Stegostoma tigrinum: one gene and its partners. The main gene of each other region encodes a partner of the protein of the gene in region 2 in a complex. Links are inferred from orthologs where the notes say so. Each region holds a gene or a part of one and is shown on either strand. Other genes may lie near its edges. The genes, in order: gins2, mcm2, protein downstream neighbor of Son and gins3.

What was found.
Region 1: mcm2 (region 2) and gins2 share a complex: the UniProt entries of both Homo sapiens proteins name them as parts of the CMG helicase complex. The link is inferred for Stegostoma tigrinum from reciprocal best matches to the Homo sapiens genes MCM2 and GINS2.
Region 3: mcm2 (region 2) and protein downstream neighbor of Son share a complex: the UniProt entries of both Homo sapiens proteins name them as parts of the replisome complex. The link is inferred for Stegostoma tigrinum from reciprocal best matches to the Homo sapiens genes MCM2 and DONSON.
Region 4: mcm2 (region 2) and gins3 share a complex: the UniProt entries of both Homo sapiens proteins name them as parts of the CMG helicase complex. The link is inferred for Stegostoma tigrinum from reciprocal best matches to the Homo sapiens genes MCM2 and GINS3.

The regions. Positions count from the first base shown.
Region 1 is NC_081369.1:52,205,932-52,213,508, forward strand, and holds the start of gins2 (DNA replication complex GINS protein PSF2), read left to right. Parts: upstream 1-4,035; 5' UTR 4,036-4,117; coding exon 4,118-4,207; intron 4,208-7,577. UniProt on the Homo sapiens protein: Required for correct functioning of the GINS complex, a complex that plays an essential role in the initiation of DNA replication, and progression of DNA replication forks.
Region 2 is NC_081364.1:5,790,946-5,798,786, reverse strand, and holds the start of mcm2 (DNA replication licensing factor MCM2), read left to right. Parts: upstream 1-4,215; 5' UTR 4,216-4,300; coding exon 4,301-4,306; intron 4,307-7,841. UniProt on the Homo sapiens protein: Acts as a component of the MCM2-7 complex (MCM complex) which is the replicative helicase essential for 'once per cell cycle' DNA replication initiation and elongation in eukaryotic cells.
Region 3 is NC_081365.1:23,193,734-23,201,992, reverse strand, and holds the start of protein downstream neighbor of Son, read right to left. Parts: upstream 3,173-8,259; 5' UTR 2,933-3,172; coding exon 2,612-2,932; intron 1-2,611. UniProt on the Homo sapiens protein: Replisome component that maintains genome stability by protecting stalled or damaged replication forks.
Region 4 is NC_081369.1:10,630,932-10,638,569, reverse strand, and holds the start of gins3 (DNA replication complex GINS protein PSF3), read left to right. Parts: upstream 1-4,288; 5' UTR 4,289-4,307; coding exon of another isoform or gene 4,308-4,456; 5' UTR 4,457-4,965; coding exon 4,966-5,136; exon of another isoform or gene 5,137-5,524; intron 5,525-7,638. Other genes in the region: diacylglycerol O-acyltransferase 1-like, read right to left, coding at 4,308-4,456. UniProt on the Homo sapiens protein: Required for correct functioning of the GINS complex, a complex that plays an essential role in the initiation of DNA replication, and progression of DNA replication forks.

The DNA of each region.
Region 1 (7,577 bases), on a different chromosome or scaffold from region 2:
GCAGTGGGTGGGGGGGAAGAGCTGGGCTGGTTGTGTGGTGCAGTGGGGGGAGGGGACGAACTGGGCTGGTTTAGGGATGCAGTAGGGGAAGGGGAGATTTTGAAACTGGTGAAGTCCACATTGATACCATATGGCTGCAGGGTTCCCAGGCGGAATATGAGTTGCTGTTCCTGCAACCTTCGGGTGGCATCATTGTGGCAGTGCAGGAGGCCCATGATGGACATGTCATCTAGAGAATGGGAGGGGGAGTGGAAATGGTTTGCGACTGGGAGGTGCAGTTGTTTGTTGCGAACTGAGCGGAGGTGTTCTGCAAAGCGGTCCCCAAGCCTCTGCTTGGTTTCCCCAATGTAGAGGAAGCCGCACCGGGTACAGTGGATGCAGTATACCACATTGGCAGATGTGCAGGTGAACCTCTGCTTAATGTGGAATGTCATGTTGGGGCCTGGGATAGGGGTGAGGGAGGAGGTGTGGGGACAAGTGTAGCATTTCCTGCGGTTGCAGGGGAAGGTGCCGGGTGTGGTGGGGTTGGAGGGCAGTGTGGAGCGAACAAGGGAGTCACGGAGAGAGTGGTCTCTCCGGAAAGCAGACAGGGGAGGGGATGGAAAAATGTCTTGGGTGGTGGGGTCGGATTGTAAATGGCGTAAGTGTCGGAGGATGATGCGTTGTATCCGGAGGTTGGTAGGGTGGTGTGTGAGAACGAGGGGGATCCTCTTAGGGCGGTTGTGGCGGGGGCGGGGTGTGAGGGATGTGTTGCGGGAAATATGGGAGACGCGGTCAAGGGCGTTCTCGATCACTGTGGGGGGAAAGTTGCGGTCCTTAAAGAACTTGGACATCTGGGATGTGCGGGAGTGGAATGTCTTATCGTGGGAGCAGATGCGGCGGAGGGTGGAGGAATTGGGAATAGGGGATGAAATTTTTGCATCTCAACAAAGATAGGGACCACTGGTTCTCACTTTCCGATTCACCGGTATCCGCATCCATAAGATCATAAGCTGCCATTTCTGCCACGTCTAGTTGAATGTCACCACTCAATACATATTCCCTCCCCTCTTTTGTCAGCTTTCTGCAGGGACCGTCCCAGCTGGGACATCCTGGCCCACTCCTCCTCCACTCCCACCATGTCCTCACATGCCCACGGCACCTTCCGCTAAAACTGCCAAAGGTGTAACACCTGCCCATTTACCTCCTCACTATCCAAGAGTCCACACACAGATGAAGCAGTATTTTACCTGTATTTCGACAATCTAGTCTACTGCATTCTCTGCTCACAATGTGATCACCCACACACTGGGGAGACAAAACACAGACTGAGCAACTGTTTTGCTCAACACCTACTTTCTTTCAATAAAAATGGCCTCAAGCTTCCAGTTGGCCGCCACTTTGACATACCACTGTGTTCCCTGGCCAATATCTTTGTCTCAGGCTTGCTGCATTGCTTCAGCAAGGCTCACCGCAAGCTGGAAAAACAGCATTTCATTGGCTGCTCAAGCAGCGCCCCCCCCCCCGGAGCCTTGAGGACTCGATATCGAATAAAGCCTGAACATCTTCTTCAATATCCTTTATCCACCCCTACAACCCAGGTCTGTCATGATAAGGGCTGCTTTCAGCACTGCCAACTCAATTTTACTCACTTATGGACCCCTTCATCAGCTTTTGATCGAGTTGTACAGTACAGAAACAGGCCCTTCAGTCCGACTTGGCCAACCGACCAGACATCCCTGTCTGACCTTGTCCCATTTGCCAGCATTTGGCCCATATCACTCGAAGCCCTTTCTATGCATGTACCCACCCGGTAAATATTTTAAATGTTGTATTTGTACACACCTCCACTACTTTCTTTGGCAGCTCATTCCATACATGCACCACCCTTTGTGTGAAAAAGTTACCCTCCAGGTTGTTTTTTAAATCCGCCCCTCTCACCTTAAACCTTTTCCCTCTAGTTTTGACTCCCCTACCCAGGGAGAAAAACCTTGATTATTCATCCTATTCATGCCCCTCATGATTTTACAAGTCTGTATAAGGTCACCTCTCAGCCTCTGATGCTCCAGAGAAAACAGCCCCAGCCTATTCAACCCGTCCCTATAGCTCAAACCCTCCAACTCAGCAACATCTTTGTAAATCTTTTCTCAAGTTTAGCAACATCCTTCCTAAAGAAGGGCAACCAGAATATACATTTTCTCCTTGCCTGGCTTACTATCATCAATCGCTTTTTCTCCTTAACTATCTGTCTCTCTCTCTCTCTCTCTCTCTCGAGTCTACCTCCATCAATGATTTTGAAGAAAACATGAACTGCAGATGCTATCTTCTTACTCCTTTAGCTTCCTCTCCCCGCCCATCTCTTCAGGTTATAAACAACTTTTCCCAACATCCATTGTTTCTATTCTGTTTTTGTCTCCACTGATGCTGTCAGACCTGCTGGGTTTCTCCATCAATTTCTGTTTTTACTTTAGACAACGTAAACATTAAGCTTGTTGGCAAAGGGGGAAGGCCTTGCAAGCAAGGGGCACGGCTTGCAACGGGGGACTGTCAAGGGGCGGAGTCTGTGCCTTGATTGGCGTAGTCTGTTACTAAGGAGGCATGGTCTTTATTCAAATAGGCCGAGCCTGAAGTGTATGGACAGGGAATGTCCTTCAAGGACCGCACCTTCCCCCCCCACAGTGGTCAAGAGTGCCCTTGACTGTGCTTCCCGCATTTCCCGGACCTCATCCCTCGCAATAACCTCCATAAGAGAATCCCCCAGTCCTCACGTACCAGCCCACCAACCTCCAGACACAATGCATCATCCTCCGACACTTCCGCCATCTACAATCCGACCCCACCACCTAAGACATTTTTCCTACCCCACCCTTGTCTGCCTTCCGCGACTCCCTTGTCCGCTCCACGCTCCCCTCCAATCCCACCACACCCGGCACTTTCCCCTGCAACCGCAGGAAGTGCTACACCTGCCCCCACATCTTCTCCCTCACCTCCATCCCAGGCCCCAACATGACTTTCCACATTAAGCAGATGTTCACCTGCACATCCGCCAATGTGGTATACTGTAACCACTGTAGCCGGTGTGGCTTCCTCTACATTGGGGAAAACAAGCGGAGGCTTGGGGACCGCTTTGCAGAACACCTCCGCTCGGTTCGCCATAAACAACTTCACCTCCCAGTCGAGAACCATTTCCACTCCCCCTCCCATTCTTTAGATGACATGTCCATCATGGGCCTCCTGCAGTGCCACAATGATGCCACCCGAAGGTTGCAGGAACAGCGACTCATATTCCGCTTGGGAACCCTGCAGCCCAATGGTATCAATGTGGACTTCACCAGTTTCAAAATCTCCCCTTCCCCTACTGCATCACAAAACCAGCCTAGTTCTTCCCCTCCACCCACTGCATCCCAAAACCAGCCCAGTTCTTCCCCTCCACCCACTGCATCCCAAAACCAGCCCAGCCTGTCTCTGCCTCCCTAACCTGTTCTTCTTCTCACCCATCCCTTCCTCCCACCTCAAGACGCACCTCCATTTCCTACCAACGAACCTCATCCCGCCTCCCTGACCTCTCCCCTCCCCACCTAAACTCTCCTCTCCACCTATCTTCTCCTGTGTCCATCTTCGGTCCGCCTCCCCCTCTCTCCCTATTTATTTCAGAATCCTCTCCCCATCCCCCTCTCTGATGAAGGATCTAGGCCCGAAACGTCAGCTTTTGTGCTCCTAAGACGCTGCTTGGCCTGCTGTGTTCATCCAGCCTCACACTTTGTTATCTCGGATTCTCCAACATCTGCAGTTCCCAACATCTGTGGGATAGGGAATGTAGTGCAGTCAGTGGGCGGGACGTGGCCGGGAACGGTGGGGATCGTAGTCAGGGGCGGGCTCCGTCGTCAAGGGGCGGATCCCTACTCGGGGCGGGGTGACCGTTGTTAGAGGCGGGGTCCGTTGTCAAGGGGCTGGGTCTGTTGTTACGGGGGCTGGGTCAGTTGTCGCGGGGGCGGGGTCTGTTGTCAAGGGGGCCGGGCCAGTTGTCAAAGGGCCGGCTGAGTGACATCACCCCTATTTCCGGTGGTGTTTGCGCGGGAAGCTGTCTCAGGCTTCAGGCGGGTGATTTAAACCCGGGAGCGAGCGGTTAAATGCGGCAATGGACCCTTCAGAAGTGGAGTTTCTCGCAGAGAAGCAGATTGTGACTATTATTCCCAACTTCAGCTTGGATAAAATCTATTTAATAACTGTGAGTGTGTTTTGTCAAGTTGCCCCCTCTTGTGGCTCATGGGCTATGATTTATATTTTAAAGCATTTTACACATGGAGCAAGTTTAAACTAAAAGGCCAGAGATTTATAATCAATGATAATAAATTATGTGTAACAAGTGCTGTAGAGTTGGAGGAAATATTTTCCTACAGCCTGTTGTTATTGGGATCAACAAAAATGTAAAATGTTTAGAGCAAGAGATCTCTGATTGTCTTCAGATTAATTTGGATCATTCCAAATCACACTGACTGACTGACTGACTGACTTTTTTCAAAAAAGGTTTGTGACTTGAAATGTAAACAAGGAAGCTCCACGTCTTGAAACATTTTAATCCTTATACTTGCTCCTAATAATAGACAATAATTAGGCAAGTGCAAATTGACAAGTTTGAAATCCAAAATTAAACAAAGGGCTGCTGATGCTGAAGATCTGAAACAAAAAACAGAAATTGCTGGAGAAGCAGAGCAGGCTCCAAACATAGCCTGGTATGCCATAGTGCTTCGCTTGGAGAAGAATTTGTTAAGTGTGCAGAAGAAAATTTACCTCTTCAGAATATGGATGTACTTACTAGAGAAATAGCAAAAATTAGTCCTTCTCTTGGGAAATAAGGCAGGTGACAGTGGGAGCTACTTTGGGGCCAGTGATCATAATTCTATTAGTCTATAAGGTTTTGGAGTAGATTTGTAGTTCGGGTTGTGGATGTTGTGGCTGGCTCGCTGAGCTGGTTCTTTGTTTTTCTGCAGATGTTTCATTACCCCGCTGGGTAACTTCATCAGTGTCTCTGATGAAGTACCGTTGTGTTTTCCCACCTGGTTTTTAAACTGGAGTCCGTTGAGCTGGATTACCTCATTTCTGGTTTTCCTTTGCAATGGCGTGTATATGGGGTCAAGTTCTCTGTGTTTGTTGATGGCTTTCTTCTTGGAGTATCAGGCTTCTAGGAATTGGAAAAGGATAGAACTGATCTAAAAGTTGAAGGTCTAAATTGGAGTAAGGCCACTTTTGATGGTATAAGGCAAGAACTTTCAAAAGTTAATTTGGATGTGGATATTTGCAGATAAAGGGATGGCTGGAAAGTGGAAAGCCTTCAAAAATGAGATAACGATAGTCTAGCAAAAGTATGTTCCACTCAGGGTGAAGGTTGGTGGGTGTAGGGAATGCTGGATGACTAGAGAAATTTAAGTTCTGGTCAAGGAAAAGAACGAAGCATATGTCAAGCGTAGACCGCAGGGATCAAATGAATCCCTGGATAAATACAAGAGCAGTAGGAGTAAACTTAAGAGGGAAATCAGGGCAAAAAGGAGAAATAAGATAGCTTTGGCAAGTAGGGCTTAGGATTACCTAAAGGGGTTCTACAAATACATGAAGGACAAAAGAGTAACTAGGGAGAGAATGGGGCCCCTTAAAGTTCAGCAAGGCCACCTATGTTTGGAACTGCAGGAGATGGGTGAGATACTAAATGAGTACTTTGCATCAGTGTTTGGTGTGGAGGAGGATATGGAAGCTAGACAACTTGGGGAGATAAATAGCAATATCTTGAAGTGTCCATATTACAGAGGAGGAGGTGCTAGATGTCTTAAAATGCATAAAGGTGGATAAATCCCTAGAACCTGATCAGGTGTGCCCAAAACTTTGTGGGAAGCTTGGGAAGCCATTTGCTGAGATATTTGTATCTCGGATAGCCACGGGTGAGGTCCCTGAAGACTGGAGGTTGCTACCATGCTGCCGTTATTTAAGAAAGGTGGTGAGGAAAAGCCAGGGAATTATAGACCACTGAGCCTGACATCAGTGGTGGGCAAGTTTTTGGAGGGAATTCTGAGGGAGAGGGATTTACATGTATTTGGAAAGGCAAATACTAATTAGGGATAGTCAACATAGCTTTGTGCATGGGAAATCATGCCTCACTAACTTGATTGAGTTTTTTGAAGACGTGATGAAGAGGTTTGACAAAGGCAGTGTGATGCGTAGTGTCTGAATGGACTTTTTAAGCCATTCGACAAGGCTCTGACTGGTAGACTGGTTAACAAGGTTGGAACACATAAATACAGGAAGAAGTAAACATTTGAATACAAAATTGGCTTGAAGGTAGGAGACAAAAGGGTGTTGGTGGAAAATGCTTTTCAGACTGCGGGCCTGTGACCAGCAGTGTACTGCAAGGATTGGTGCTGTGTCCACTGCTTTCTGTCATTTATAAAAATTACTTGGATGTGAACATAGGAGGTATGGTTAGTGATTTTGCAGATGACATCAAAATTGGTTGTGTAATGAACAGCAAAGTGGGTTATCTGAGAGTAACGGAACCTTGATCCGATAGGCCAATGAGCCAAGGAGTGGTAGATAGAGTTTAATTTAGATAAATATGAGATGCTACATTTTGGTAGAGCAAATCAAGGCAGGACTTGTACAGTAAATGGCAAGGCCCTGGGGACTGTTGCCAACAAAGAGACCTTGGGATGCAGCTTCATAATTCCTTGAAAGTGGAGTCACAGGTAGACAGGGTAGTGAAGAAAGTGTTTGGTACACTTACCTTCATTGGTCAGAGCATTGAGTATTGGAGTTGGGAGGTCATATTCTGCCTCCACAGTACATTGGTTAGGCCACTTTTGAAATACTGTGTTCCATCCTGGTCTCCCTGCTATAGTCAAGATACTGTGAAACTTGAAAGGGTTCCAAAAAGATTTAAAAGAATGTTGCCAGGATTGGGGAGTTTGAACTGCTGGGAGGGGCTGTTTTCCCTGGAGCATCAGACGCTGAGGGGTGACTTCATAGAGGTTTATAAAATCATGAGGAGTTTGGTAAGGTGACTAGTCAAGGTCTTTTCCCCAGAGTAGGGGAATCCAAAACTAGAGGGCATAGGGTCAAGGTGAGAAGTGAAATATTTGAAAGGGCCCGAAGGGGAAACTTTTTAATGCAGATGGTGGTGCATGCATGGAATGAACTGTCAAAGGATGTGGTGGAGGCTGGTACAATTGCAGCATTTAAAAGGCACCTGGATGGCTACAAGACTAGGAAGAGTTTATAGAACGTAGAACATTACAGCACAGTACAGGCCCTTCGGCCCTCGATGTTGTGCTGACCTGTCATACCAATCTGAAGCCCATCTAACCTACACTATTCCATATTCCATGTACGTCCATATGCTTGTCCAATGACGACTTAATGGTGCCAAATGCTAGCAAATGGGACTAGATTAATTTAGAATATCTGATTGGCATGAATCAGTTGGACCAAAGGGTCTGTTTCTGTCATGTACATCTTTACAACTGAGGTCTGTTGAAAGTGTGTGGAGGGGGGGTAGAGAGAGAGAGAGAGAGAGAAAATCAGACTTAATGTTTCAAGTCTGGTGAACCTTC
Region 2 (7,841 bases):
GAAAGGTTTGGAGAAATATGGGCCAAGCACAGGAGTTGGGATTAGTTTAATTTGGGAATATGGTCATTGTGGGCTAGTTGGATCAAAGGGTCTGCTTCCATGCTGTGTGACTCTATAAACTCTAAATGGACTAAGGAATGGCAGATGGAGTTTAACGCAGATAAATTTGAGGTGTACTCTGGAAAGGGTGCAAGAAAGATTTTAAGGGTATTACTGAGACTGGAGGGTTTGAGTTATATGGAGAGACTGGATAGGCTGGGACTACTTTCCTTTGAGCAGAGAAGGCAGTGGGTTGGCCTTATAGAGGGTTATAAAATCATGAGGGGCATAGATAAGTTGAATAGCCAAGGGTATCTGCGACCAAAACCAGCAGGCATTATTTTGGAGTATATTTGTAGCTCGGGTTGTGGGTGTTTGAGGTTGGTTGGCTCACCGAGCTGGTTTGTTGTTCTGCTGATGTTTCATTACCGTGCTTGGGTAACATCCTCAGTGCAGCCTCTGATGGAGCATCAGTGTGTTTTCCCGCCTGGCTTTTAAACTCTGTGGACCATTGCGATGGATTGCCTCACTTCTGGGTTTCCTCCATAGTGGAATGTATATGGGGTGTTTATTAATAGCCTGCTACGTGGAGTGCTATGCTTCCAGGAATTCTCGTGTTTGTCTCTACCTAGCCTGTCCCAGGATCTTGGTGTTGTCCCAGTTGAAGTCGTGGTTCTCCTTGTCCATGTGGATTGAGACGAATGAGTAACCAAGCATGGTAACGAAACGTCTGTGGAACGACAAACCAGCTCGGCGAGCCAACCAACCTCAATAGCAGGCATAGTTTTACGGTGACAGGGTAAAGATTTAAAATGGGGGGCAACTTTTTCACAGTGGGTGGTGAGTACATGGAACAAGCTGCCAGAGGAAGTGGTAGGGGTGAATACAATTACTATATTTAAAAGACATTTGAATGAGTACATGGATAAGAAAGGTCGAGAAGGATATTGGTCAAATGAAGGCAAATGGGACTAGTTCAATTTAAGAAGTCTGGTTGGCACAGATAAGTTGCACCAAAGGGTCTGTTTCTGTGCTGACTCTCAAGGTTAACAGGCAGGTAAAGTTGGCAGTTAGGAAGTCAAATGCAATGCTTCCATTCATTTCAAGAGGGCTAGAATGCAAGAACAGAAACGTGCTGCTGAGCCAATTTCGAGAGTCTGGTCAGACCACATTTAGAATATTGTCAGCAGTTTTGGGCGATGTATTTTAAGGAAGGATATTATTCACTGATTGTCTTGTATATCGAAATGCAGTGAAATGCTTTGTTTATGAGCGCTAGAGGCAGATGACAGCAAGCAAAGGATGTACAGATCAAAAAGACTTAAAGGCATACAGGTTACATTGCAGGTTACATTATTTAGGGCATCTTCATTATTTGAGGCCAGAGTCCATTCAACAATCTGAGTACGTGACAAAGTTGATTGATGAGGGAAAGGCTGTAGATGTCATATACATGGACTTCAGTAAGGCATTTGATAAGGTTCCCCATGGCAGGCTGATGGAGAAAGTGAAGTCACATGGGGTCCAGGGTGTGCTAGCTAGATGGATAAAAAACTGGCTGGGCAACAGGAGACAGAGGGTAGTAGTACAAGGGAGTTTCTCAAATTGGAGACCTGTAACCAGTGGTGTTTCACAGGGATCTGTGCTGGGACCACTGTTGTTTGTGATATATGTAAATGATCTGGAGGAAGGTGTAGGTGGTCTGATCAGCAAGTTTGCTGATGACACTAAGATTGGTGGAGTAGCTGATAGTGAAGGGGACTGTCAGAAATTACAGCAGAATATAGATAGACTGGAGAGTTGGGCAGATAAATGGCAGATGGAGTTCAATCCGGGCAAATGCGAGGTGATGCATTTTGGAAGATCAAATTCAAGGGCAAACTATACAGTAAATGGAAAAGTCCTAGGGAAAATTGATGAACAGAGGGACCTGGGTGTTCGGGTCCATGGTTCCCTGAAGGTGACAATGCAGGTCAATAGGGTGGTCAAGAAGGCATATGGCATGCTTTCCTTCATTGGGCGGAGTATTGAGTACAAGAGTTGGCAGGTCATGTTGCAGTTGTTTAGGACTTTGGTTCGGCCACATTTGGAGTACTGTGTACAGTTCTGGTCACCACATTACCAAAAGGATGTGGATGCTTTGGAGAGGGTGCAGAGGAGGTTCACCAGGATGTTGCCTGGTATGGAGGGTGCTAGCTATGAAGAGGGGTTGAATAGATTAGGATTATTTTCATTAGAAAGACGGAGATTGAGGGGGGACCTGATTGAGGTCTACAAAATCATGAGGGGTATAGACAGGGTGAATAGCAAAAAGCTTTTTCCCAGGGTGGGGGACTCAGTTACTAGGGGTCATGAGTTCAAAGTGAGAGGAGGAAAGTTTAGGGGAGATATGCGTGGCAAGTTCTTTACACAGAGGGTGGTGGGTGCCTGGAACGCGTTGCCAGCAGAGGTGGTAGACGCAGACACGTTAGCGTCTTTTAAGATATATTTGGACAGGTACATGGATGGGCAGAGAGCAAATGGACAGAGACCGTTAGAAAATAGATGACAGGTTAGACAGAGGATCTTGATCGGCGCAGGCTTGGAGGGCCGATGTTCCTGTGCTGTAGGTTTCTTTGTTTCTTTGTACTGTAGGGGGCTGAGGATGCATCCTTGGTGGGGTGGGGGAGGACTCCAGAGTTGAGGGTTATTGTGGAGGAGGTGCAGTTACCTATCCTCACTGATTGTGACCTATGGGTCAGAAAGCTGAGGATCCAGTCGCAGAGTGCTGAGCTGATGCCAAGATCACGCAGTTTTGAGATCAGTCTGGAGAGGACAATGGTGTTGAAGGCGGACATTTAGTCAACGAGCACAAGTCTGATGTAGGTTTCTTTATTGTCCAGGAGCTCCAGGGATGAGTGCAGGGCTAGGGATACGGCATCTTCTGTGGACCTGTTATGTTGGTAGGCAAATTGTAGGGATTTGAGGCAAGTTTGGAGACTGGAGTTGATGTGAGCCATGACCAGCCTCTCAAAGTACTTCATGATTATTGAAGACAGCAAATGGGTGATAGTCACTGCACACACACTGCATGTGTTCTCTTGGATACAGGGATGAGAGTGGTCTTCTTGAAGCAGGTGGGGACTTTGGCTTGTAGGAGGCAGAGGGAGGGAGTCCAGAGGAGGTTTACAAAAATGATCCTGGGATGAGGAGTTGTCAAGAGTTTAGAAGGGTTGGGTGGAATGGGAACCTCATCTAAACTTCCAGAATCCAGTGGTCTGGATAGAGTGGACATACTTCCACTAATAGGACAGGCTAAAATGCAAGTATAACAGCAGAGTGAAAGAAACAACCCTTTAGAACAGAGATGGAGGAATTTCTTCAGCCAGAGGGTGGTAAATCTGTGGAACTCATTGCTCCACAGAGCTGTGTAGGTCAAGTTGTTCAGTATATTTAAGATAGAGCTAGATCAGTTCTTGGTTAGTAAGGCGATCAAGAGTGAGAAGGCAGGAAAATGGGGTTGAGAATCATATCGGCCATGATCAAATGGTGGAACAGAGTCGATGGGCCTCCTATATCCTGTGGTCTTCTCTTAAGGACATTAGTGAGCCAGTTGGGTTCTCTTGGCAATGGTTATCCTCAGATTCTTAATCCCAAATTCTTTAAAATTGAACTCAAATTGCACTATCATGCATGACAAGATTTGGACCTACGTGCTGAATACGCTACCTGGGTCTCTGGTGTATTAGCCCAACAATGCGGCCCTCATCCAATAGTATTATCCCATTCCTGTGCTTTTTTAAAAATGGTCTCCTTTACAATTTGGAGACGGTCCCTAAATGTAGGGTTGATTGACGTGTGGGCCAGCCAATCCGCGAGAGGTCAGGTCCTAACGGACACCACCTACAGCCAATCACAAGCACGAGGGGCGGAATCTGAACCGCCAATCCATTCGGGAACTCAGCGTCTCTTTCCAATGTGAGCATCAGTAGCGCCCCGTCGAGAAATAATTGATGAACACCATTCCCTACAGGCTCCAGGCCGCAGACCGCGATGTTTAAATAGCAATACGTACGCCTCGTCTTCAATCGATCCATGACCCGTTACAGCCGGCGATGTCTGATGCTGTGCGCCGATGACGCAGTGCTCATTGACATGCATGGGGCCGCGGTGACGTAGAACACACGACTGGGTTTTGGCGCGAATCGGAGTCAGGTGGGTGGTTTTGGCGCGAAAAGGGGTTTAGTCCGTTTGTCGGTGAGGAGCCGGAGAGAAGGAGGCAATGGCGGTGAGTGGAAGAGAATGAGGGAGGTGTTTCTGGAGTGGGGTTAGGGGAAAGCTGCAGCTAAGAGCCCGTCAGATAAAACACTGAGGGGAAAAGTGGTTTGTGATGTTCCTCACATCCCGACCTCCGGCGTGATGATAAGTGGTAGGAGGCTCAGAGAGATCCTGAAGGGGTTGTTGTTTGTTTATATCGCACATGGAATGAGGGCGTCACTGCATTTATTGCCCATCCCCAACTGCCCAGAGGGTCAGTTGAGAACCATCCGCTTTGCTCTGGGTCTGGAGTCACATGTAGGCCAGAGATGGTTTGAGGTCCGCGAATCCCCGAAGGCAGCAGGACCGGTCAATAGGGTAGTTCAGAAGGCCCTCGGGCAACTTAGCCAAGACGTTGAATATGAGAGTGGGGAGGTTATCGTCGGTGTATAGTACTTTGGTTAGGCCACAGCCGGAGCCCTGTGTGTAGTTGCGGTCACCACATTACAGGAAGATGTGATTGCACCGGAGTGGGTGAAGAAGAAATTCACCAGGATGTTGCCTGGGATGGATCATAGAGTTGTACAACGTGGAAACAGACCCTTTAGTCCAACTCTTCTGCTCCGACCAGATATCCCAATCTGACGTAGCCCCATTTGGCCCTTGTCCCTGTAAACCCTTCCTATTCATGTACCCATCCAGATGCATTTTAAATGTTGTAATTGTACCAGCCTCCACCGCTTCCCCTGGCAGCTCATTCTGTACACACACAATCCTAAGCATGAAAAAGTTGCTCCTTAGTTCCCTTTAAATCTTTCCCCCTCTCACCTGGACCCATGCCCTCTACATTTGCAGCCCCCTAACCTGGGGAGAAAAAGGGAGGCTGGATAGCGTCAGCTTGTTTCCTTTAGAGCAGAGAAGGTGGTGGGGTTTGGAGGGTGTGCGGAACCTGTACTGTAAACAAGTGCTGGCGATCGCAGTATTCACGGAGAGACAGCAAGCTAACGTTTCAAGTCGAGATGACTCTGATGAAGTGTCAGATTCCTTCATCTGCTGTAATTTGCACCGGGGCGGGTGCGGGGGGGAATGTGATTGAGTGGTGTAAGATTGAGGGATACAAACAGGGTAGGTAGATATCAGCTGTTTCCCTGAGTTGAAGGGTCAACAGCAAAGGGACATAATTTTAATTCGTAAGGTAGAAGGTTTACAGGGATTCGAGGAAAGCAAGCTCAGAGGCTTTTTTTTGGGGCGGGGGAAGGTGTCTGCAATGCACTGCCAGGGAGGGTAGTTGACATGGGAAATATCTCAACCTTTAGAATGTATTTGGGTGAGCATTTGAAATTCCTTAACATTCAAAGTTGTCGGTCTAATGCTGAAAATGAGACCAGTGTTTTTTTTCGAGCGGTTTTTGTTGATGTAGTCATGATGGGTCAAGGACATGCTTCTGTACTGTATGATACTACATTAGAAGGGTATGTGATCCCGCGGTCACCTACTCATTCAAATTGTGACCTAGACCCCATTCTGTTTCATTGCTGCAGTGCTGTGAGGTGCAAAGTTAGCCCCACCAACCCCTTTCCTGATTGAAATGCCCATTCGTTTTGTCACTGAACCTGGGTCAGAATGTTCCAGATAATTTAAATGCTAGCTATAAATATCGTAACACATCTTTTTAAAAACTGGCAGAACTGCAGTTGTTGGAAATTAAAAACAAAAACGTCACTGGCCACAAAATGTTAATTCTGCTTTCTCTCCGCAGATGTTGCCAGACCTGTTGAGTTTTTCCTGCAATTTCTAATTTTATTATCTTTCCCAAATTCCCTGAACCTAATCTCACCCAACTTCTTGCAACAATGCTACCCACTGTTCCCAATTCCTTCGCCTCCACCGCATCTGGTCCCACGGTGAGGCATTCCACTCCCAGACATCCCAGATGTCCTTGTTTGTCAAGGACCACAAATCCCACCCCCCATGGTCAAAAATGCCCCCTACTGCATCTTTTACATTCCTGCACCTCAGCCCTCACACCCCCTTCCCGCAATGACAACAAAGACAGAATCCCCCTTACTCTGATATATCACCCCCATCAACCTCTGAAGTCAAAGCATCATTCTCTGCTAATTCTGCCACCTGCAATCTGGCCCCATACCAAGACTATATTTCCCTCCTCACCCTTATCTGCCTTCCAGGACTGCTCTCTCTGTGACTCCCTTGTCTGCTGTATGCTCCCCACTAGCCCTGTTAGGTTTGTTCCATTAACTTCTCAGCCCCACCACCCCCAACACCTTTCCCTGCAACCGCAGAAGGTGCTACACCTGCCCCCACACCCCCACACCCTACCACATTAGCGGATGAGCAGGTGAACATCTGTTTGATGTGGTATATTGTATCCGCTGTTCCTGACGTGGCTACCCCTACATCAGGGAAACCAAGCAGAAGCTTGGAGACTGCTTTGTGGAGCACCTGTACTCGGTTTGTGACAAACAGCAACACCTCCGAGTCGCGATCCACTTCAACTCCCCCTCCCACTCCTTGGACGACATGTCCATCCTGGGCCTCCTCCAGTGCCACACGGATGCCACCAAAATCTGGACGAACAGCATCTCATATTACGCCTGGGAACCCTACAACCGATTCGTCTCAATGTGGACTTTACAAGCTTCAAAATCTCCCCACCCCCGACCTAATCCCAAGACCAGCACCCCCCTCTCGTTTGCATCTCCTTGACCTGTCCATCTTTTCTCCACCTATCTGCTGTACTCTCTATTTTCTATCATTGCCTCCCCGTCTCTCTTTATTTCTTCCCCTTCCCCACCATTTTTGAATCAAGGTACAGACCTGAAACGTCAGCTTTTCTGCTCCTCTGATACTGCCTGACCTGCTGTGTTCATCCAGCTCCACATCTTCTTGTTATCCCCCTAAGTTAACTGAGTTCCAGTGGTCTTGCTCATTGTTAAGCTGTTCAACATTCAGGATGACAATAACGTGTGAGTGGAACTGTGCCAAACCTGAAGCAGATCATTTATTCACCTTGGGCCTTTTTTTTCTCATTCAGATGGATGTGGTTTTCAGAGGCTGGCCATCCCTGGTTGCCCCTTGTGAAGGTGGTGGTGGGGGCTGCCTTTTTGAACTGCTGCACGTCCATGTGGTGCAGGGACATACATAGAGGTGTTCGGGAGGGAATTCCAGGATTTTGAGCCAATGAGACAAAAGGAAAAGCAATATTTTTCCAAGTCTGTGAGTGAGTGGCTTGGAGGGGCACTTGTTGGGTGGAGGGAATAGAAGACAGATGATATGCCCCTGTTCTTCAAGAACAGAGGGAACAGTACAGTGCAGGAACAGCCCACCAAGATTGCTAACTCATGATGCTTTTCTAAACTAAAATCTTTTCGCCTTTACACAGTCCATATTCCTCTTCCTTGCGTATCTATACATTTGTCAAGATGCATCCTAAGCATTGCTATTGTATCTGCCTTCAGCAGCGTATTTCAGGCACTTATCACCCCCTCACCTCTCGCATCTCCCTTCAACTTAGCATTTTTGCATTAAACCTACATCCTCCACTA
Region 3 (8,259 bases), on a different chromosome or scaffold from region 2:
ATGCTAAATTGCCCGTAGTGTTCAGGGGTGTGAGAGTTATAGGGGGATGGGTCTGGGTGGGATGCTCCAAGGGGTGGTGTGGACTTGTTGGGCTGAAGGGCCTGTTTCCACACTGGAGCGAATCTAATCAAACTTGCTTTTGCTAGCCAATTGTTGGTTCTATCATCCAACATTTTGGTACCAGACTATGCACTTCAAATTTAGTTCGAACTGAGTGGAGTGCAGGATCTAGCAGATCGGTAGTTTAAAAAAAAATCCTTTCCCTGAATAATTACATGGCCAACGTAAATCAAAAGTTTACTGGACACCCTCCAGAATGCATGCTCAGAACAGAGGTCAGTAAACAAAAAAAAACTTTGCTTCTTCATGCAAACCCTGAACTTTAGCTGAAAGGTATTCCTATCTGTTAAGGCTTTGACAGCATACAAAATGGGTACAGCCAAAATGCAGCATTGTCAGTGGCAACAAACACTCTAAAAAGGCAACTGACAAGAAATCATTCTGTATTATAATGGTAACCGACCATCATGAAGTGAGCAGAATACTGATCAATATTTTCAGGTCAGATATTTGTTCAACCTCTTCAACAGGGATTACTATTTAACAACTAAAAAGGAACAGTTTACATAATCAAATTGTATTTGTTGTTAGTGGTGTTTCTTGATTAGATAAGGTTCTCCAGATATGTTCTACATACCCAGATGTCACTCTTCAGTTGATCTGTCACAGACTAGAGAGCATGGCAGAGAAAAATCAAGAATTAGTGCTAACACTACAGCCTGCTTAACTCCATTAGTAACTAGAAATTGATCACAAGAGTCATCATCATCCATAGAAGAACATGCTGTTCTTCGAACTACCAAAAATTTGTAAGCAATTTCTTAAGGCAGTTGAATTTCTCCATTAGGTCCCAAAGATCTTCCTGGCTGACAACATTAGAGTTCTGGGTCAGATCAGTATATGTGCAAAAGAAGTCAATCTTCTGTTCTTGGCATTTCTTATGCAGCTGCCTGGTTTCATTGTAAACACCATGCTATGATTGCCCTAAGATTTGTGCATTTCTTTTCTCTTGTTCAGGTGAAAAAGGCATCTTTGTATGCTTGCAAGATAGTCCATTTTGTCCACATAAGTGGAATGAGTTCAGCAAACATCTTAATCAGACATTGAGTCAATAAGGATTGCATCAGCTTTGGTCTGGACAGCAGTTTGAGTGTCACTAAGTAGTTTGGGAGCATCGACACACCGATGGCTTCCAGGGAAAACCTGTTGACTGCTTCTTCATTGAATGTCAATTGGAGAATTGTTTTACATAACGCGTTCATCTCTCGGGAACATGGGCTGTTTTAGTGAGCAATGACAATCCTTCAGAACCTTGGTGAAGCATCGAGTGGACAGAATTCAGAGCTTTGTAGAATTTCTTCCAGCCTTTATCATCAGACTGAAAATCATCTGATTGCTGATTCAAAGTATCATGCAGCTTTCCAAGCCTTTTAGTAGCCCTTTTTGGATAGCGATGACTTGTCACGCAGGAGGTAACGTTGTCTTTAGTAGATTCTGGATTTGCTTATTTGTTTTTAAAAATCAAAGCGTGGCAGAAGTAGCGACAAGGACCTCTGTTGAGTCACCCACTCATCCTCAATGCAACGGAGTGCACATGTTGAGCACAAGGGCAAATGTGATTCTTCCTCGAGCGCTTGTTCCAGCTTTGAGAAATCCAAACTCTTCCGAAACTTCATGCCCTTGGTGTTTGGCTTTGAAATGTTGATAGTAGTCAGTGCAGAAATTAACAATACGTTGATTTCGATACAGGCACATCTTGATTGCCCCTCTTCCTGGTCAGAGTAGATAAAATGGCAATACGTAGAACAGGGCACGATCTAGGAAACCATTCTATCCGGGAGGTAGAAACCTGTTTGTCATTTAGGAACATGTACTCCAAACACATCATCAGCCAAGATACGACCACTGCTAACAGCGTCTTTTCCTAGACTCCTGGCCAACAACTCCTGCAGTTAAGTCGAAAACCTTATTCGACTGTAGTTGACACTCGAATAAAGAAAAAGGAAAGCTCAGTGAGTTTCCGCGTTAACTCGTTCTTCTTTCCACTAATGTTGCCAATCTTCATCCCGTTGCCTATAACAGTTGTAATGCTGATAAGGCTATTTCTTTCTCGTGTGAACATTGATAAGCGGGACCAGTTACTTTACTGAGCTACTGCCCTCCTGCGGGCTCGACACAATTTCAAACCAGCAGTTCTCCAAAACGCAAGCGGTCAAGCCCTAGTGTCGAACTTTTCAAAAAAAAGTCATTCTACAGAGTAGAAATAAATTCAAACCCCTCACAGTGAACTGGAAGTAACTTTTAAAGAAGTGGGTGCGTATGAATGGCGCAAGTGGACCATGAGGGCAGATCCTCCAGCGTCTAGGAATAACTATGTACAGCGGCGTCAACAAGTTAATTACTTTGCTTCTAAAAGGACAGCAGTACTGAGCTACTGCAGATCCGGAACATGCTAAACATTACGCTGATTATTAAAACAATAACCCTGCCTTTAATCACATTCTCTAAATCGGATGACAACATCTCAAACCTATGCATCCCGTTTACTTGCCGATTCAGTTCTGCCGTCGGAGACCGGGACTTTCCACTCCTGGGCGGAGAGTGAGCGGTGTAGCGGGTTGTCGGACTCCTCAGGCCAGCTGGTCCCGGTCCCCGGACGGGTCACGGTGTTGCCGATGTTGACGAACGGGTTCCTTGCCCTCCTCTGCCGCTTGCCGCAGGGTCTCGGTTGCTCTTTGCCGGTCGGGGTCGGAGAGTCCGAGGGAAGGCCGAGCCGCGGAGAGCTGCGAGCGCGCTTCTTCCTCAGCCTCAGCGTTTCAGACGGCTTCTTGAAACTGGGCGAATAACCGGCCAGCTGTACGGCCACCGACATTTTAAAACCCGGTCAAAAAATCAGGCGAAATCCAGGAATTAATCGATATATTGTTGGACAACCAGATGTTTCACCTTCCCCTTAAATATTTATATTCAAAAGCAATAATGAAGCATCTTTCCTTGTTTTCATCCTCCTCTTTTCAAAAATAAAAACAAAATCAGTGAAATATCACTGTCCCTGCGGCCGGAGGAAAAATATTTTTAAAATTTCGCGCGAACGAACAGTTGGAGGTTTCCCGCCGAGCGAGAGCGCATGCGTACTACTGGCCCCGCCCAAATGGGGGTGGGTGAAATTTCCGCGCAGGCGTATTGCAGCCCATGTCGGAGTGTGTTCCAGAAACGTTCAGCTGCTGCGCAGCGTTTTTGTGAGTGTTCTCGCAGTTATTTATAGTATGGAATAAAAATACCCTTTAGCTCCTGGTGTCCCACTAAAGCATCCAACCCCGATGTCTCTATCTTCATAGCTGGAGCGCTCCAGGCCCGGCAATATATTGGTAAATCTGTTCTCCGTTGTCTTCAGTGCATTCACATCCCTCCAGCAGTGGGTTGCTCGCAACTGTACACAGCGCTGTGTCCTGACTAACGTTAAAAACAGCTCCCTCAAGACCCGTGGAGCCCCCTCGTACCCTTGTCTACATTGCCTTGACTAATAAAGGCAAGGAGCCCACATTCCTTTAAGTAAAAACAAAGAACTATGAATGCTGAACATTTGAAGCAAAAAGACTGCTGGGGAAACTCAGGCCTGGTTGCACTGCACTTCTGAAGGGTTACTGGACTCTAAACATTAACTTCATTCTCTCTATAGATGCGGCCGCGCCTGTTGAGTTTCTCCAGCAATTTTGTTTACATCCTGTATTCTTTCTTTGCCACCTCACCTTGTTCTGCTGCGTTTGAGGATCTATGTACATGCACACCAAGGCTTCTGTGAACACCCTAGGGGCTCACCGTTCAACATATTTCTTTGCCATGCTTGTGCTCTTAAAAATGCATTGTCACACTTCAGACCCATTTACCATAGTTCAGCCAGACCAGGTTGGCTCTATCATTCTCTATTCAAAGGCTTTCTTCCTCACTTTTTACCACACCAGTTTGGTGTCACTGCAGACTTAGTGTTTGTACCTTGTACATTCACAGCATGTTGTGCTAGGAGAGCAATGGTTTCATCAATCTTGAGAATCAGGGCAACTGTTTTATCCTGGGATGTACTTTTAAGTTAATCTGAATAATAAAGGTGATTGGAAATATGTGAGTGATAGCTTGGAGGACTAATTGGTTCAGAAATAGAAAGTGGTTAAGTAAGAAGAGTAAAGCTGACTTGCCACTATTATCATCTCCTGCCCGCTCATTGAATGATACAGGACAAAATGGGGGCATACAGTGTTGATCAACCAAGAGCTGATATTCATATCCCATGCTACCAAATCACCAAGGTTTTTTCAAAGACTGTTCAAATTAGACATGAAATAAGAAGTGTAGGAACAGAACTAGGCTATTCAGCCCATTAAATCTCCTCTGACATTTGGTCAGGGCTGATATACATCTCAATCCCATTCTCTTGCCTTCTCCCCTTAATCCTTAATCCCCATACTAATCAAAACCCAATGACTTGGCCTCCACAGCCTTCTGAGTCAGTCAATAAGTTCCACAGAGTCACCACTCTCTGACTGAAGAAATTCCCATCTCTGTTCTAAAGGGTTCTGAAGTCTGATGCCGTGCCATGGAAGTTTCTTCTACAGGCCCACTATCCTGAAACTCTCAGAGCAGGAAGATTCCTGTCATCCTTCTAAACTCCTCTAATGCAGACCGGGACCCCTCAACTGCCTCTAATATGATGAGCTCATCATCCCAGAAATCATTCTTGTAAACATGTAAACGCCAGCACATCCTTCCTTAGATACAGGGCCCCAGGCTGCAGAGAGTGTGGTGTGATACAATTACAACATTTAAAAAACATCTGGGTGGGCTCATGAATAGGAAGGGTTTACAGGAATATGGGCCAAATGCTGGCAAATGGGACTAGGTGGGATTGGGATATCTGGTTGGTGCAGGTGAGTTGGACCGAAGGGTCTGTTTCTGTGCTGTTTGACTCTGTGGCCTCCAAGTCCATTTGTGCTTCAGATTTTCAAAGTCTTTCTCTATTTAGAAAATATACTGTGCCTGCATTCTTCGTACCAAAGTGCATGACCTCACACTTTCCCACATTGGTCAAAGGAGTGACAGATGGAATGTACCTTCTGAGCTGTTGAAGACCTTCTGCAGCCTCCCAACATTACCTATCTCACCAGTTATCTTTGTCTCATCTACAAACTTATCAACAACATCTGGAGTTCCTTTGTCCAGATTGTTAATGTATAATGTGAATATATACAGATTCCTATAGAACTCCACTTGTCACTGGCCACCATCTTGAAAGAGACCACCTTATTCTGCCTTCTGCCAGTCAGCCAATCCTCTGTCCATGCCAGTACCTCACCCCTAACTTTGTGGGCTGTTATTTAGCAGATTCCAGTGGGCATCTTGCCAAAGGCTTTCTGAAAATTCAAATAGATCCACCAGCTCTCCTTTGTCTTACTTGCTTGGTCCCTCCCCAAAGAATCCTAACAGGTTTGTCAGGCATGACACCTCCTTGAAGCCATGCTGACTCAGCCCTATTTTACTGCGAGCTTCCAAGTACTCCTCAACCTTATTCTTAATAATGCATTCTAAAATCTGACCAATAACTAAATAGCATATAGTGTCCTTTCTTCTACCTCCCTCTCTTAAACAGTGGGACTCTTCCTGTCTCCAGTGATTCCTGAAATAATACTTGCACAATGCCTCCACAATCTCCTCAGCTATCTCTTTCAGAAACCTTTGGGGTGTAATGCATATGGTTCAGGTGATTTATCCCTCTTTCGAACTTTCAGTTTCCCAAGCAATTTCTTTGTAGTGACGGCCACTATGTTCTGCCTCCAGATATATTTTTTACATTTCAAAAATATACAGTATTCATAAAAAATCTTTGTACAAATACAGTGACGACACATACAGTATTAATATTCACATATATTTGACACATTAGGAGGGTTCCATAACTGAACAGACCCCCATTTACCTTTAGCAGGAAGACTTCAAACTGGCCTTTCCCCGCTGTGCTTTGGCCTCAAGCTTTAGTGCGCCACTGAACATGTAGTCCTGGACCCCATTGAAATGTGCCAGTCTGCAACTCTTGGTTGGGGTCAACTTGTTCTGAAAGACCAACAAGGCTTGGGCAGGCTAAATAGCATCTTTCACCAAATCCTCCCGACACAACTGAAGTTTGTCTTAGTGCGCGTACCGGGGACAGATTGTAGAGCACAGAATCCCGTGTTACGGAGCTACCCGGGATGAAGATTGACAAAAACCTCCAGACTTCTTTTGTGAAGGCTCATTCCAGATGTGCAGGTTAGGTGATTGGTCATGCCAAATTGCCGATGAGCAAGCTCGGTGGATTAGCTGTAGGACGTGCAGGGTTACAGAGATGGGGTAATGTGTGGGTCTGAGTGGGATGCCCATCGGAGGGTCCGTGGGTACTCGATGGGCTAAATGGCCTGCTTCCAAACTGTAGAGATTCTGTGATTGTAGAATACAGTCACGTACTTTGGACCTCCAATACTGGCTTGTTTATGCCCCTACTATTTGGCTGACAATAATTTAATTACTTCAACAGTCCTCATTCAAACTCCATGCCCAAGATATCTCCATTATGGCTTATATATGAGCCCCAAATACTATTCAAGGTTGAGAGAAGATTTGTAGCTCAGGTTGAGGTTCTGGATGTGAGTTTGCTCGCTGAGCTGGAAGGTTAGTTTTCAGACGTTTCGTCACTTTTTTTTATTTGAAAAAATATACATTATTCGTAAGGTGTACAAAAAATAAAACATATTTACACACCTACCCAGTCATGCAAGCCGCTCCGGGTTACCCAGGGGATACATACACCAACTGAAGGAAAAAAACAAAGAAGGAAAAAAAACAAAGCAAAGAAAACACCCCGGCAGTCGTCACCCCGCACAGTTCCCGTTGCCCCCCTGACCAGTTGGGGAAAGCGCCAGCTGGGCCCAGTTACCAGATAGGGCCCTTTTTTCCATTCTGGACGAGGGATTTCATACGGTGGTCTTTCCCCACCGCGCCTTGGCGGCGGCTGCCCCAAGCTTTAGCGTGTCCCTCAGCACGTAGTCCTGGACCTTGGAGTGCGCCAGTCTGCAACACTCAGTCGGGGTCAGTTCTTTCAGCTGGCAGACCAGCAAGTTGCGGGCAGACCAAAGAGCGTCTTTCACCGCATTGATGGTCCTCCAGGTGCAATTGATGTTGGTCTCGGTGTGCGTCCCCGGAAACAGCCCATAGAGCACGGAGTCCTGCGACACGGAGCTGTTCGGGACGAACCTCGACAGATACCACTGCATCCCCCTCCAGACCTCCTGCGCATAGGCACACTCCAGAAGGAGGTGATCGACAGTCTCATCCCCCCCGCAGCCACCTCGAGGGCAGCGTGCGGTGGCGCAGAGATTCCGGGCATGCATAAAGGATCTCACTGGCAGAACCCCTCTCACCGTCAGCCAAGCAATGTCCTTGTGCTTGTTTGAAAGTTCTGGCGATGAGGTATTCCGCCAAACGACTTTGGCAGTCTGCGTGGGGAAGCACATGACGGGATCCACCCTCTCCTTTTCCCGAAGGGTCCCAAGGATACTACGTGCTGACCACTGCCTGACGGCCTTGTGGTCAAAGGTGTTTCCTTTCAAAAATTTCTCCACGAAGGACAGGTGGTATGGAACGGTCCATCTACTCGGAGCGTTCCGCGGCAACGAGGCCAGCCCATCCTTCGCAACACTGGGGACAGGTAGAACCTCAGTAAGTAGTGACACTTGGTGTTTGCGTACTGAGGATCTACGCACAGCTTGATGCAGCCGCACACAAAGGTAGCCGTCAGGGCAAGGGTGGCGTTCGGTACGCCCTTTCCCCCATTTCCCAGGTCTTTGTACATGGTGTCCCTGCGGACCCGGTCCATCCTCGACCCCCAAATGAAGTGGAAGATGGCCCGGGTGACTGCAGCAGCGCAGGTCCAGGGAATAGGCCAGCCCTGTGCCACATACAACAGTACCGAAAGCCCCTCGCACCTGACAACCAGGTTCTTACCCGCGATGGAGAGGGACTGGAGCGTCCACCTGCCCAGCTTCTGCTTCAATTTGGTGATACGCTCCTCCCAAGTCTTATTGCATGCCCCAGCTCCACCAAACAAAACACCCAGCACCTTCAGGTAGTCTGTCCTGACGGTGAAGGTGATGAAGGAGCGGTCGTCCCAGTTCC
Region 4 (7,638 bases), on a different chromosome or scaffold from region 2:
TGGAATGTCTTATCGTGGGAGCAGATGCGGCGGAGGCGGAGGAATTGGGAATAGGGGATGGAATTTTTGCAGGAGGGTGGGTGGGAGGAGGTGTATTCTAGGTAGCTGTGGGAGTCGGTGGGCTTGAAATGGACATCAGTTACAAGCTGGTTGCCTGAGATGGAGACTGAGAGGTCCAGGAAGGTGAGGGATGTGCTGGAGATGGCCCAGGTGAACTGAAGGTTGGGGTGGAAGGTGTTGGTGAAGTGGATGAACTGTTCGAGCTCCTCTGGGGAGCAAGAGGCAGCGCCGATACAGTCATCAATGTACCGGAGGAAGAGGTGGGGTTTGGGGCCTGTGTAGGTGCGGAAGAGGGACTGTTCCACGTAACCTACAAAGAGGCAGGCATAGCTGGGGCCCATGCGGGTGCCCATGGCCACCCCCTTAGTCTGTAGGAAGTGGGAGGAGTCAAAAGAGAAGTTGTTGAGTGTGAGGACGAGTTCAGCTAGGCGGATGAGTGTGTCGGTGGAGGGGGCCTGGTCGGGCCTGCGGGACAGGAAGAAGCGGAGGGCCTTGAGGCCATCTCCATGCGGAATGCAGGTGTACAGGGACTGGACGTCCATGGTGAATATGAGGTGTTGGGGGCCAGGGAATTGGAAGTCCTGGAGGAGGTGGAGGGCGTGGGTGGTGTCACGGACATAGGTGGGGAGTTCCTGGACCAAAGGGGAGAAAATGGAGTCCAGATAGGTGGAGATGAGTTCGGTGGGGCAGGAGCAGGCTGAAACGATGGGTCGACCAGGGCAGGCAGGTTTGTGGATTTTGGGAAGGAGATAGAAACGGGCCGTGCGGGGTTGGGGAACAATGAGGTTGGAGGCTGTGGGTGGGAGGTCCCCTGAGGTGATGAGGTCATGAATGGTGTTGGAGACGATGGTTTGGTGCTCGGGTGTGGGGTCATGATCGAGGAGGCGGTAGGAGGTGGTGTCGGAGAGTTGGCGTCTGGCCTCGGCGATGTAGAGGTCAGTGCGCCATACTACCACTGCGCCACCCTTGTCTGCGGGTTTGATGGTGAGGTTGGGGTTGGAGCGGAGGGAGCGGAGAGCTGCCCGTTCTGCGGGGGAGAGGTTGGAGTGGGTGAGAGGGGTGGAGAGGTTGAGGCGGTTGATGTCTCGACGGCAGTTGGAGATGAAGAGGTCGAGGGAGGGTAGGAGGCCTGGGGGTGGTGTCCAGGAGGAGGACTTGTGTTGGAAGCGGGTGAAGGGGTCAGTGGAAGGAGGGTTGGGTTCCCGGTTGAAGAAGTAGGCATGCAGGCGAAGACGGCGGAAAAACTGCTCTATGTCCGACCGTGACTGGTATTCGTTGATGTGTGGTTGTAGGGGGACAAAGGTGAGCCCCTTGCTCAGGACTGACCGTTCGTCCTCAGTCAGTGGGGTGGAACACCTCCGCTCAGTTCGCAACAAACAACTGCACCTCCCAGTCGCAAACCATTTCCACTCCCCCTCCCATTCTCTTGATGACATGTCCATCATGGGCCTCCTGCACTGCCACAATGATGCCACCCGAAGGTTGCAGGAACAGCAACTCATATTCCGCCTGGGAACCCTGCAGCCATATGGTATCAATGTGGACTTCACCAGTTTCAAAATCTCCCCTTCCCCTACTGCATCCCTAAACCAGCCCAGTGCATCCCCTCCCCCCACTGCACCACACAACCAGCCCAGCTCTTCCCCCCCACCCACTGCATCCCAAAACCAGTCCAACCTGTCTCTGCCTCCCTAACCGGTTCTTCCTCTCACCCATCCCTTCCTCCCACCCCAAGCCGCACCCCCAGCTACCTACTAACCTCATCCCACCTCCTTGACCTGTCCGTCTTCTCTGGACTGACCTATCCCCTCCCTACCTCCCCACCTACACCCTCTCCACCTATCTTCTTTACTCTCCATCTTCGGTCCGCCTCCCCCTCTCTCCCTATTTATTCCAGTTCCCTCCCCCCATCCCCCTCTCTGATGAAGGGTCTAGGCCCGAAACGTCAGCTTTTGTGCTCCTGAGATGCTGCTTGGCCTGCTGTGTTCACCTCTTAACTACTAGATTCAATGAGAGCTCAGGTCAGAGTTTCTTTTCTAAAACAGGAATATAAATGCAAGTTTTAGTTTTTTTTGTTGTTGATGATCAAAAGGTTTGGAAATCTTCAGCATTTATAGACATTGTAGACACTAAACCTGTATTACTTTACCATTAATGGGGCATGCCACAGTTGGACAGTGCAGTAACACTTTTTTAAAAATTCCTGAGCATATATATCAGGCATAATATGGAAAAATAATATTTTCATTTGAATAACACTGGGAAATAGCTCTACAAATGTAGGTAAAAGACTGTAGCAAAACAAACTCCTAAATATTTCACTTGTGATTTTTGCTGCAGTTGCTATAACTGAGCAGTTGTACATTAATAGTGAAATCATAGAATGCCAACAGTGTGGAAACAGGCCATTCAGTCCAACAAGCCCACACCGACCCTCTGAAGAGCATTCCACCCAGACCCATTCCCCACGCTTTCCCTGTAACCCTGCATTTCCCATGGCTAATCCACCCAATCTACACACACCAAAGACACTATGGGGCAATTTAGCATGGCAAATCCCCCCAACCTGCACATTTTTGGACTGTGGTAGCAAACTGGGAAACCCACCGGAAACCCACACAGACACAGGGAGAAGCCCAAGGGTGGAATCGAACCCAGGTCCCTGGTGCTGAAGGACAGCAGTGCTAACCAATGAGCCACCATGCCAATATTCAGGACACATACAGTGCAGGGGGCCATTTTCCATATGCTAAATCTTTGTTATATTTCATCTCACATCAGTCCTTTTTGTTCATTACCCTGTAAACTTCACATTCTCAAGTACTTGTCAAGGGTCCTTTAAAAATCACCTTCCACCACCTCTTTAATAAGTATTCCAGATCCTGATCATGCGAATAGTGTACAATTTAAAAATAATATAAAACATGGAGCCATTGTGAAGTGTGAGGAGAACTTCAATAGAATAGACTTCAAGAGGGCAGGCAGCACAATGGACAAATGGAAGATTTAGTTTAATGCAGAGAAGTGTTGAATATATTTCGATAGGAAGAGCAAGGAGAGACAATGTAAAAAAATACAATTCTAAAGGAGGTATAGCATATAGAGATCCAGAAACAGGTATCTATGCATCACCGAACATGGCAAGGACAGTTGAGCAGCCAGTTAATACAACAGTATCCTGGATTCCTAAACAAAAATGTATTGAGTACAAAAAGCAAGGAAGTTATAAAAAACCTTTATAAAACATTAGATTACCTTCAGTGTGGAAACAGGCCCTTCAACCTAACAAGTCCACACCACCCCTTAAAGCATCCCACCCAAACCCATCCCCATTTCCCCTATAACCCACATACCCCTGAACTTACTCTGATGAAGGGTCTAGGCCCGAAACGTCAGCTTTTGTGCTCCTGAGATGCTGCTTGGCCTGCTGTGTTCATCCAGCCTCACATTTTATTACCCCTGAACTTAGATGCTATTCTGCCCAAATCTAACAATCATACTTTAAGAAGGATGCAAAAGCATCATGAGTGGGTGCAGAAGGGATTAACAAAAATGATTCTGGCCATGAGGAACTTCAGTTCTGTGGATTTTGTCCTCTTCAGTGAAGATTAGGAGACTTTAAAGACAAGTGGTCAAAATCATGAAGGATCTGAACAGGTTAGCAGAATGAAACTCTTCTCACTGACACAAGAAGAATCAGCGAAAACTAAATTTAGTGCGATTGGCAAAAGTGGAAAGGGTGACTTGAAAATGTTTGCATGTAGGGAAATGGGGATCTGGAATACATAACATGACAATATTGTGGAAGTCAGATTCTATTTAAAGCCTCAAAAAGAGAACTGTATAATTATATAGAACAAATAAAAACATGCAAGGTTACAGGGAAGGGCGAGATTGTGGAACTTGGTGAAGTACGTTTGCTGAGGCCACAGATCGAATAGCCTCCTTCGGCTGTAACTATCTCATGGATTCTCCAGAAATAATGGTAACTGCAGATGCTGGAGAATCCAAGATAACGAAGTGTGAAGCTGGATGAACACAGCGGGCCAAGCAGCATCTCAGGAGCACAAAAGCTGACGTTTCGGGCCTAGACCCTTCATCAGCGCTCTGATGCTGCTTGGCCCGCTGTGTTCATCCAGCTTCACACTTTGTTGTCATGGATTCTCCAACTGGGCTGAGTGAACGCGATGACTATGCGCAAGCGCAACAGAGAATTGCCGAGAGTCACCTTGTCCTCAAACACTCACCACATTTTCCGGCGCATCTCCTCCACCAGGTCCTCGTAGAACTTGGACCTCTCGATGTTTCGCGACTTAATATGTATGTTAGAAAATCGAGGATTACTCTTCCTTCTCAACTTTGGTGAGGTGTCACGGACCTCCGAGTGGCTCGCCATTCTTGCGTCTTTCAACTCCGACCCTCACCCGCCCGTCCGCTGTGGTGTCCCCCCTCGTACCGCCAAGCGCTAGCCCAACCTTCCGCGCGCGCCCTTTCCCCCCTCAACTCTTCAAAATCTAACCGACCACCTGCCGCGCGCTGGAACTGGAAGGCACGTGGGTTCGACGCCATCGCCACAATCCCTGCCTCTCCGTTTCATCAGAAGTATATTTGTGTCTGTGTTGAAGATGGTGACGGTATATTAAATAACGGTCACCGAGATTTGTTTTCGCGGACGCTGTGAGTTTATCACGCCTTTCGCCAGTACGTGTAATAAAAGAGTACTATTTTAATAAGGCCGGGCAAATCGATTAACGCCCACCCATTACGTAGTTGTGCGAGGTCTCTACGTTCGGTCGGCTTCTGCTTAGCGGGCGGGGCGGGAGATTTGAACTGGAGGCCCATTTCCGGCGGCACGAGCCTGCCGCCCCTCCTCCTATGTAACGAACTAGTTTAGCGGCCTCCTTAATGCCGCGCGCCGATTCGTACTTGCCGGTGCCTCCGGGAGGCTTGGAGGAAAACTTCTTCAGCCTGGATGACATCCTGATGACCCAGGAGAAGATTCCATGTCGGACTGTGATGTTGCTGCCGCGCCTGGGCTTTCTAGACAAGAGCAACGAGGCCGATCTCATCCCCGAGGTAAGCGAGTGGGGTGACCGCTGTCAGGCGCGTGCCGAGCGGCAAGGAGAAGAGATCGCTTCAGTGTTTCTGGGCACTTTCAGTAGATTTGTCCACAAAACTGAAGAATAGTGGCGGTTTGACAGAAATGTTTTAACTGCAGCACCACAAGAGTGGAGCAGAAACGGCTCTGAACGTTCAGTGGCCTCTGACCCTGATTTTGTATAATCCGGGAGTTAAAATGTTTACAGTCACGACGTTTGACAAATACTAAAAATGATAAGAAATCCTTTCTGCCTAAAGGCCAGTCAATGTAGATTGACGATTGATTTGTACGTTTCGTAATAGGCGTTTTCAATTCCCGGCTGATCAGAGTTCCATCAATCCAGAGCCACTGATCTTACCTTGTTCAATCCAATAGTACATGGGGCATGAGACCAGAGTACCGCCAACAATGCTGTACTCTAGTCAGGCTGGGAAAGGGGAGGCATTGAGATATCAAGAATGAAAGCTGAAGATCCGTGTCTGTCAGATACATTGTCACATATCCTGTAAACTGTGCTGGGAAAAATTTGGGCATAAACCAAATATTGGACAGAATTGAACTTTGTAAAGAACGAATGGATGAGCAGCATTTGGACGCAGACGAATGAATTGTGGAAGATTTTCTCTCAGTAATAGTGGTATTTTCTCTGTGACTCGACAATGTCTAGTGTAAGAGAACAAGGTGCAGAGCTGGATGAACACAGCAGGCCAAGCAGCATCAGCGGAGCAGGAAAGCTGACGTTTCGGGCCTGTACCTTAAGGGCTTCTGCTCGTCTGATGCTGTTTGACCTGCTGCGTTCATCCACCTTGTTATCTCAGATTCTGCAGTTCCTGCTATCTCTGAAACTATGTCCACTGTAATGTCGCTATGCATATCCAAGAACCGACTAATTTGGAATCCGAGTAAAGAAAGGACAACGAGGATTCACTTGCAAAAGACGCTTAATTTGCTTTCAAACAGTATTTTTCAAGATAAATTCGCGAGCGTTGGCAAGTCTTTTTTTGTACAGTTGTCCACACATTTTTCGTGGCCTTTTACTACGGGAACTGTGGTAATTGAAAATCTAAAATCACACGGTGCCCTCTAAAGGGTTTCTGTCTCTTAGACTGATTAAAAGATATCTGACAGTGTAGAGTATAAACCAGCCAAGTCTGACAGAATTCGACGGAAACTCCTATTCAGAAAATGAAATTGCCAAAAACACTTGCATTGATATAGTATACTTAATAATCTCTGGCCATCTGAAAGCGTTAAGCAGCTATTGAAGTTGGTCACTATGTAAGAAACGTGACAGGCAATTAGTACACAGCAAGCTCCCACAAAAATTTGTGATAACTAGGTAAACTGATTTTTTTTGTTGTCGGTTATGGGATGAATGTTTGCCATGACAGCACGGATAATTTTTCTGCTATAATAAAGCAAAGAATTTTGGATGCTGGAAATATGAAATAACGTCAAATTACTGGAGAAACTCGGCATACATGATAGCATCTGTAGAGAGAAAGCCAAAATAACATTTCAAGTCCAGTGATGCTCCTTCAGAAGAAGGATCAATGGACTTGAAAAATCAACTCTCTTTTCTCTCTTTGCATGCTGCCAGACCTGCTGAGTTTCTCCAACAATTTCTATTTTTGTTTCATAATTTCCCTGCTGCTTGAAATAGAGTCAAGGAAGCTTTTGCATCCACGTGAGAGGCCTAGCAAGGTCTCTCCACTAATAGTACTGCACTGGAGTGTTCGCCTTTATCTTTGTGCTTAAACCCTGGAGCGGGACTTGATTGCTGCAACCTTCTGACTGTTTCATGGCTCGTTATAAGTTTAATTCTTTTTCAGTGCAAAGCATGCCACACATAATGAATACAGTTCAGAAGGAAAGGAACATGGGATAATCAGAGAGCAATACAATAAGGATTTTTAGAAATGTCTTCAACAGTAATTAAAATCTGAAGGAACAAAACTCCTCACTTTTAGAAATGAATTTTTGTGTCAGAAGTTGTTTTATAGTAATCAAGATTTGTCTCTTTCTGTTTATAAAGTGTAAATAACTTGAGCATTCTGTGGTTTCTTTGCAAAGGTTATGTATGCAGTGCTTTTTTTTTGCTAGACTTTGACATCTATTAGTGCCATATTTATATTTGGGGTCAAATCTGCACTATTGCATGGTAGTAAGGTAAGTGACAATAGTTAGTATAAAAATGCATGACAAAATGATAAACAACTATTGCAGAAATCTTGATGCCGATGTTGTTTAGTACATATGACATCCTAAATAAATTTCAGTGTTGGCAAAGTCTATGTACTCAATTGTTTGTAAGAACCTAATGTGACTTCAGCCCTATCTTTAAATTCTCTACTTCTAAAAATCTGAGGCACCTGCATTCCTCCATTCTAGCTTCTTGTGTAGCTCTGATTTTTTTTTTTAATCATTCTAACTTTGGTAGCTCTGCGTTAAGCTGCAAAGGCCCTAAGATCTGATGT